Callithrix jacchus: one gene and its partner. The protein of the gene in region 1 purifies or fractionates together with the protein of each later gene. This does not show direct contact. Links are inferred from orthologs where the notes say so. Each region holds a gene or a part of one and is shown in the gene's direction. Other genes may lie near its edges.

Evidence for each region. The genes of interacting proteins can lie anywhere in the genome.
Region 2: the proteins of PDS5A (region 1) and WAPL purify together in Homo sapiens (affinity purification with mass spectrometry; 6 studies listed by BioGRID and IntAct, with this or other methods). This does not show direct contact. The link is inferred for Callithrix jacchus from reciprocal best matches to the Homo sapiens genes PDS5A and WAPL.

Annotation. Positions count from the first base shown.
Region 1 is NC_133504.1:153,856,708-153,860,456, forward strand, and holds the start of PDS5A (sister chromatid cohesion protein PDS5 homolog A), read left to right. Parts: upstream 1-1,107; 5' UTR 1,108-1,219; coding exon of another isoform or gene 1,220-2,434; coding exon 2,435-2,572; coding exon of another isoform or gene 2,573-2,691; intron 2,692-3,749. Other genes in the region: uncharacterized protein LOC144581690, read right to left, coding at 1,220-2,691. UniProt on the Homo sapiens protein: Probable regulator of sister chromatid cohesion in mitosis which may stabilize cohesin complex association with chromatin. May couple sister chromatid cohesion during mitosis to DNA replication.
Region 2 is NC_133513.1:43,580,137-43,583,785, forward strand, and holds part of WAPL (wings apart-like protein homolog), read left to right. Parts: intron 1-2,582; coding exon 2,583-2,758; intron 2,759-3,077; coding exon 3,078-3,193; intron 3,194-3,649. UniProt on the Homo sapiens protein: Regulator of sister chromatid cohesion in mitosis which negatively regulates cohesin association with chromatin. Involved in both sister chromatid cohesion during interphase and sister-chromatid resolution during early stages of mitosis.

The DNA of each region.
Region 1 (3,749 bases):
CTCCAGCTTCCATTCCTCGCCCTGCCCCCAGCCGACCCTGTATCAGCCTTTTAACCTCACACACTTTTCCACAGTTGTGTTCAATAAAGTGCACATGTTCCTGGAAAAAAAAAGAAAAAGAAAAAATAGACCAATGGGTATCCATCAAGAATAATTTGAATAAACAGTCAAATATCATTTTAAACTATGGTAGTGGTCAGTTTCATATTATTGTATCCTTTTCGGAAATTTTGTGTATCCTTTTAATTTTTAAAAAAAATAATTGTATGTTCTTGCGTTTGTTTCAATTATATACATTAAATTGCTTAAACACTGCTGTGTGCACTGTTTTTAACTGATAGTTGTTTTCCTTTGGATGCCAGAAAACGTTAATGCTTGGTAAGTTTAAAACACTAAAAAAAAAAAATGAGTTCTTTCTTATTGAGAAGCACCCACCTAATTAGTAAATGCTTATTTCTGCGTTCCACTCTCAGAGATCCTTTTTTTTTTTTTTTAATGTTTGAAGTTGGAGACGTACGTTTTCAGCCAGTACCCAAAGTGATTGTGAGGCCTGGTGGCCCAAAGACATACCTTGAGAACGACTCGAAGCAATGCTATTTTCATGTTTTGCAGCTTTCAAAATGCTAACTTCAGAAATCGAAGGAGGGTGGGTAACTCGAAAGACTGTCAGAATACCCGAGAGTGAGCCGCTCACGCAGTGCCGGGTTGCACAACTTTCCTTTACTTTGCAGATCTCTCCCTGGGGCGGAAATCATTTCATTTTCACCAAGCAATTAACCATCTTCCAACCAGTTCCGTCTACGTCCCTCATGATGACCCCCAAAAGTCACCAGCTCATCCCCGCGGCGGAAGATAAAGCGCTGTTTGCCCTGCGTGCCCTCGCAGGGTCGCGGGGCCGCGGGAACCTGGGTTCGCTTCCCGCCACCCGGGCTCCTCCTCTCCAGGCCCTGTCGGGTCGGGTCCTCCCCGAGGCGCCCAGCGCGGCAGGTCTTGGCGCCAACCGGGTGGCGGCGCTGTCCGCCCTGCGCGCGGCCGCTTCGGGCCCGAGGGAGGCGGATGCACGGCCGGCGGAGGAAGGGGAGGGAGCGAGGAGCGCGCACTGCTCTCGCGTGCTCTCGCGCCACTCGCGTGACCGGCCGGTGTGTGCGCGAGGCGCCGGCTCCCGGGGCACGGACTGCCGGGCGCGCGCCACTGCGAGGGGCGTCCGGGTCCGAGTCGGCTACCCGGGCCGGCGCGAGGTGCGGGCGGGCGGGCTGCGGGGGTCCCGAGCGGACACACGCACACAGGCTCCCGGAGGAGCCTTCTCGGAGGCTGCTCTTCCTCGGCCAGACGGAGAGCGGCACTGTCTCCCCGCCCAGCGCTCACTCGCCCCGCGTCTCCCCCCGCGGCGGCTGCTCCTCGGCACCGCCAGCCCCAGCGCCGCTCCCGGGCGGGCGGGTGGCGGCGGCGGGACCCGCGGAGCCGCTTTGTGTGCAACCCGACGAGGGGCGGCGGCGCAACCACCTGACAGAGGCCCGGGCGCTCGATGCACCTTCCGCCCGCATGAGGAGGAGGTAAAGGCGGCGGCGGCGGCTCGGCTCCCGCCCTCGGCTGCTGGAGGGAGGGGACGGAAGGAGAGACAGAGGGGGGGCCGTGGGTCCGAGGCCCGGTGGGGCCGCCCGGGGGTGCGGGGAAGGCCTCGGCGGTGCCGGCGGCGCCAAGCGGCAGGGAGCCAGAGAAGCCGTTGGGGTCCCTCAGCCGAAGTTGAAGGAACAAAATGTGAAGTGCGGAGCCGCGTCAGCCGCTTCCTGGCGTGGGGCTGGGGGTGGAGGGCGGCTTGTTTTCCCCTCCCGCGGGGGTGAGGGAGCGGAACCGAGGAGGGGCGGCAGCGCGGCGGGGACTGCCCGGAGTCCGAGGCTCGGCTGGGCAAGGGCGTTTTGTTCCCGGGAGCCGCCACTGCGCGTGGGTCCGCTCGGTCCCTAGTTTTGCGGCCTAAGCCGAGCCCTATAGGCCTCGCGTCTGCTTTCCTGGAGAGGACTAGTCGGGCGGGACTCGGCGCTTCCCTCCAGCCAAGTGGGGGCCTTGGGGTCCTTATCAACCTCCTGAGGCCGCCAAACTTCGGACCTTGGTGCTCGGGGGTGGATTTCATTGTGAAAGGGGGAAAGGTAAACTCCTGGCGCTGTTCGCTGTCTCCCGCGGCCGCGGCGGCTGGTACCGGGAAGCCCAGTGAGCCCCGGGCTGGCTGGGCCGGCGCTGGCGGGGTCCGAGCCCCGGGAAAAAGCGGGTGGTGGGGCCGCTGCCGGGTCCCCGGCCTCCGGGGAGAAAGAGCCTTTTCCAGATTAGAGAGATTTGAAATGAAAAAAGAGGTTAGAAAGTCGCCCCTTTCCCGCTGAACTTTGGTTTTCTGACCGATAGAGGCCGGTAGAGGACTGTGAACGAAAAGTTGTCCCCCAGGATGGACTTCACCGCGCAGCCCAAGCCTGCCACTGCCCTCTGTGGCGTCGTGAGTGCCGACGGGAAGATCGCTTACCCTCCGGGTGTAAAAGAGATCACCGACAAGATCACCACGGACGAGATGATCAAACGCCTGAAGGTAAGCGTCTGGACGGATTGTTCGCTCTCTGGATGTCTTGGTAGCAGGTGCTTTTTCCTGTGATATGGCTACTCTGCTCGGTCTGGCCTTTAGAGTTCCAAGTTTTTTAGATGTCTTACCTCCTCAGAAAGGTATTGTATCACTACTACGTCTTTGAGTAAGTTTTCTAGTGACATAACCATTGTGAGAAATTTTAAAAGAGTGTGATTTAAAAGAAAAAAGTACTGGTTTTCAAGCATAAGAATTTGTGTGTTTTTCGTTTTTTTCTGGAGATATTTAATGAGAATACTGTTCAGAGTGGCTTGCAAACCTAAATGTAGGCAGGAATTTGCCTAAGAAGTTTCCTAGTTTCAGCCTGTGAGGGGGATTGATTAAAGCACAAAGTCCTTTTTAAAAATTGGCATAATTTTCTAATATCCAGAAGCTTAAATATGTATATAGTGTGGTTAAACTTTGACAGTAGGTACAGACTTCTCAAAATTGAGGTTTAAAGTTAGATGTTTTAAATCTATACGTTCAAAGGAGTTTAAGAGTATTACGGCTCTTTTTATGAGGCGTCAGCTAATTTTGTTTAAGCATGGCAGTCCGAAGGTTAAGGTTTTAAATTTCAACCTTATGTTGGTTAGTTTTTTTGGTTTCTGTGTCACTGACATAGATCGTGGCCAGAATCTTACCAAATAAGTGATATTCTTGTAGGATCAGCTTGAAGCAGTGGTTTTCAGTCAGGGCAACTTTGACCTCCAGGAGATATTTGGCAATGGTGGAGACATTTTGGTTGTCATAATTGGTGCTAGATTGGAGTAGGGAATGATTTGAGTAAGAATAGACCAGAGGCAGTGAGTCCAGCTAGGAAACTAAACAGTAGTCTGGGTGAAAGACATTGAAATCTTTAGGCAGGGCTTTGGCATTGGTAATAGTGACTAGGAAATGATTTAACAGACTTTTCAGAGTTAGAATCAATCAGAATTGGTGGGAGGTAAGGGAAGGAATATTGTCAATGTTTCCACCTTGGGCAACTTGGCAAAATGTATTTTAGGGAATAATTTTGCCCTCTTGCTCTTGGAGCCCAGTAAATATATCTAATGTTGCATTTTAATGAGTATAGTATTTAAAATATTCCTACGGTTTAGCTTTCAAAACTAAGTTGCTTCTACAATTTGCCTTTTGGAAGGAATAA
Region 2 (3,649 bases), on another chromosome or scaffold:
GTCCTCATTCTTGTTTTAAATGGACTTTTCTAGCCCTCTTCTTCTGTACTTTATTTAGACTTGTTTTTCCATATCTGTATATAACTTCTATTCCACATTCTTTGTTCCCACACATATTTCATCACAATTAGGCTAATGCTGTCACCTCTGTGCAGGTAAAATTTCCAACTATGTCTCCAGTCCTGGTTCTATCTTATTACAGCAGCCTCTTCATGATATCTTTGTCCTAGTTCTTAATATCTGCCCTACTTCTCTGGCCTTTAGCCTAGAACAGTAATACATGAAGTTAACTTTCCCAAATCTCTGATTGCTTATTGTCTTTGGATATATGTGCAACTTTCTTATTACAGGAAGTCGGCCTTTTGCAAAGGCCCATTGCAGTCTTATTCTGATTTATCTGTTTTTAACCTCTTATTTTAGAGGATTTCAAATATAAATAGTGTAATAAGCTGTTATGTACACATTATCAGTCATGGCCAGTCTGGTTTTCATCTATAACCCCATCCATTCCCCCTCTTGTATTATTTGAAGCAAATCCAGATATTATCATTTCATCCATAAATACTTAAGTATACAATGTCTGAAAGAAAATGACTTTTAAAAAATATAACCCAATACTATTTTCATACTATTGATTATCTAGTTGCTTACTATTTTATGTTTAGTCAATATTCTAATTTTCAGTAATCTCAAATTTCTAGTCTCAATAGATTTCTTAATCTATAGGTTTTTTAAATCTCCTTTTTTTGTCTTGCATTTGTACATTTTTTTTTTGTCTTCCTCCAGAGCATTTGTGGACTTGATTGCATTTCTACATTTTGTATTTTTCAATGGTATATTTTGCTTTTATTTATTTATTTTTCTGAGATGGAGTCTCTGTCGCTCAGGCTGGAGTGCAGTGGCATGATCTCGGCCCACTACAATTTCCACCTCCTGGGTTCAAGCAATTCTGCCTCAGCCTCCTGAGTACCTGGGACAACAGGCATATGCACCACACCCAGCCAATTTTTGTATTTTTATTAGAGATGGGGTTTCACCATGTTGGCCAGGCTGGTCTCAAAGTCCTAACGTCAGGTAATGCCACCCTCCTCAGCCTTCCAGAGTGCTGGGATCATAGGCATACCTGGCCTATTTTATATATATATTTAGCATTCTTTTTTAAAAAATAGATACAATGTCTTGCTATGTTGCCCAGGCTGTTCTCAAACTCCTGGGCTCAAGTGATCCTCCCACGCTGACCTCCCAAAGTGTAGGGATTATAGGCATGAACTATGCCCTGCCTATATAGTTAGTGCTCTTACCACATGCATTCTGCTTGTTTGCTACCATGTTTTACCCTTTCTTACCAAAGATTATTGAAGTTAAATGTTTCTGATTTCATTTTCTTTTTTAAATTGACAAATAAAAATTGTATATGTTGTTTCTGATTTAAAAATATCTCTTATGTATACTTAATTCTCTCCAACAAGTGCCTTGTAAATGGAAGTATTTAATATGACACATTTTAGCTCTTTTGTTATGATTAGGAAGTTCAGACCAAATGTCTTGGAAGTGACGGTAGAGGTCAGAATTGTTTGTAAAAGAGCACTCATCTCTAGATTTTAAGCTTTTCAGCAGAAACCATGATCAATGCAGGGGTAGCATACAGAAAGATTAAATAACATATGCTGAACCTCCTTTTATCTTCAAAGCCCTAGTTTAGCTCAGTCTAAAAACAGTTGAGTTACCAATGGCAGTATGGTAATCCTGACAAGCATTCAATACCAGAAGTACAAATTATTTTAGGTTACACATGAGGAACACCTTCCTGACCAAAGGGTTGTAAAATATTAGGAAACCTTTACAGAATTTCCTCAGTATGTTTTAAAGGGCAACTAGGCCTAGATTAGATATGATTTTTTTAAGAATCTTGTATCATTTTACATAATGCATGAAGAATCAACTGACAGAGACCGCTTACTTGATTTGTATTAAACTTAAAAATAGTGGAGTTGGTGATTTAAACAGCATCTTTAGAAATACTAGACCCATTTAGGGATTATATTTCCTTGTTATTTTGGGTAGTATCTTGAGAATACTTGGATGTAGCTCATCCCCTTGGATAACTGGCAAGGAGACATGTCAGCTTGACCTTCAATTAAAAAATAATGATTATACTGTAACATTGATAGTTAAGATAATAATTATTTGCTCTAATGCATATGAAGTATTAATACTTGTCTTTACATTAACATTTGTTGTGTAATAATGGCAATAACATTTACTACCTCAGAAGTGTTCAACATTAGCTCTTAACCATTTTCCCTGTTTGAGAAAGGGTTGTGCTCTGTCTGACGAAGAGATCAATAACATGTGAGACAACTTGGAAATAAAGAGATTACTAGAGTAAATGTAGGTAGCACAGATAAAAACTTCTGCCATTAGTGTTTAATTTTTAACATTCCTTGGGTAGTTTTTTTAAGGTATCAGGTTTTTCCAAAATAAAGGGAAGTTTTATCTGATAGCCTTTAGGTTCAAGTAAATAGAAATAAGTTGTGTACCTATTATTTACTATAATAGTCTATATTTTATTTTCTCTTAAGAGCATTACAACATTGTGAAGAACTGATTCAGCAGTACAACCGCGCTGAGGACAGCATATGCTTAGCTGACAGTAAGCCTCTGCCTCACCAGAATGTAACTAACCATGTGGGCAAAGCAGTAGAGGACTGCATGAGGGCCATCATTGGGGTGTTGCTCAATTTAACTAATGATAATGGTAAGATTTTTTTCCATTTTTTTTCTCATTGAAAGATGTATGTTGCATGTGAAAACAAGTTATTTTTTTTTTTGTTTCTCCTTTTCTTGGTGTAGTGATTTTTTTTATTTGTCTTAATGTACTTATGTGTAGGTTTAAAAATCACTTTTAAGAGTTGGTATTTCTATAAGCCTAGTATCTTGACCTGGAAGTATCAACAGTATGTTTCAATAGAGGAATGACTATACAATCCTAAGTTAATATCCATGTTAATAAATCTGTTATTACTGTCCTAAGGCAGAATCAGTAACAATTTTCCTATATCCATTTCTTATTTCAGAGTGGGGCAGCACCAAAACAGGAGAGCAGGACGGTCTCATAGGCACAGCGTTAAACTGTGTGCTTCAGGTTCCAAAGTACCTACCTCAGGAGCAGAGATTTGATATTCGAGTGCTGGTAAGTTGAAATGACTTTTTCAGGAAGAGTATTGTATCTAGTAAGGTGTGCAAAATATTCACCTTAGTTTGGGTTTAAGAATCAACCCTTTAATATTGTGGTTGTTTTCATGAATTTCCTAATGAACATACTTCTTTTTTTGTTTTTTTTTGTTTTTTTTTTTGAGACGGATTCTCACCATCACCCAGGCTGGAGTGCAGTAGCACCATCTTGGCTCACTGCAACTTCTGCCTCCCTGCTTCAAGCGATTCTCCTGCCTCAGGCTTCCAGATGCTGGGACTACAGGCTTGTGCCACCACACCCAGCTAATTTTTGTATTTTTAGTACAGATGGGGTTTCGTCATGTTGCCCAGGCCGGTCTCAAACTCCTGGCCTCAGGTGATCTGCCCGTTCTAGCCTCCCAAAGTGCTGGGATTACAGGCATGAGCCACTGCGCCTGGCCTTTTTTTCCTTTTT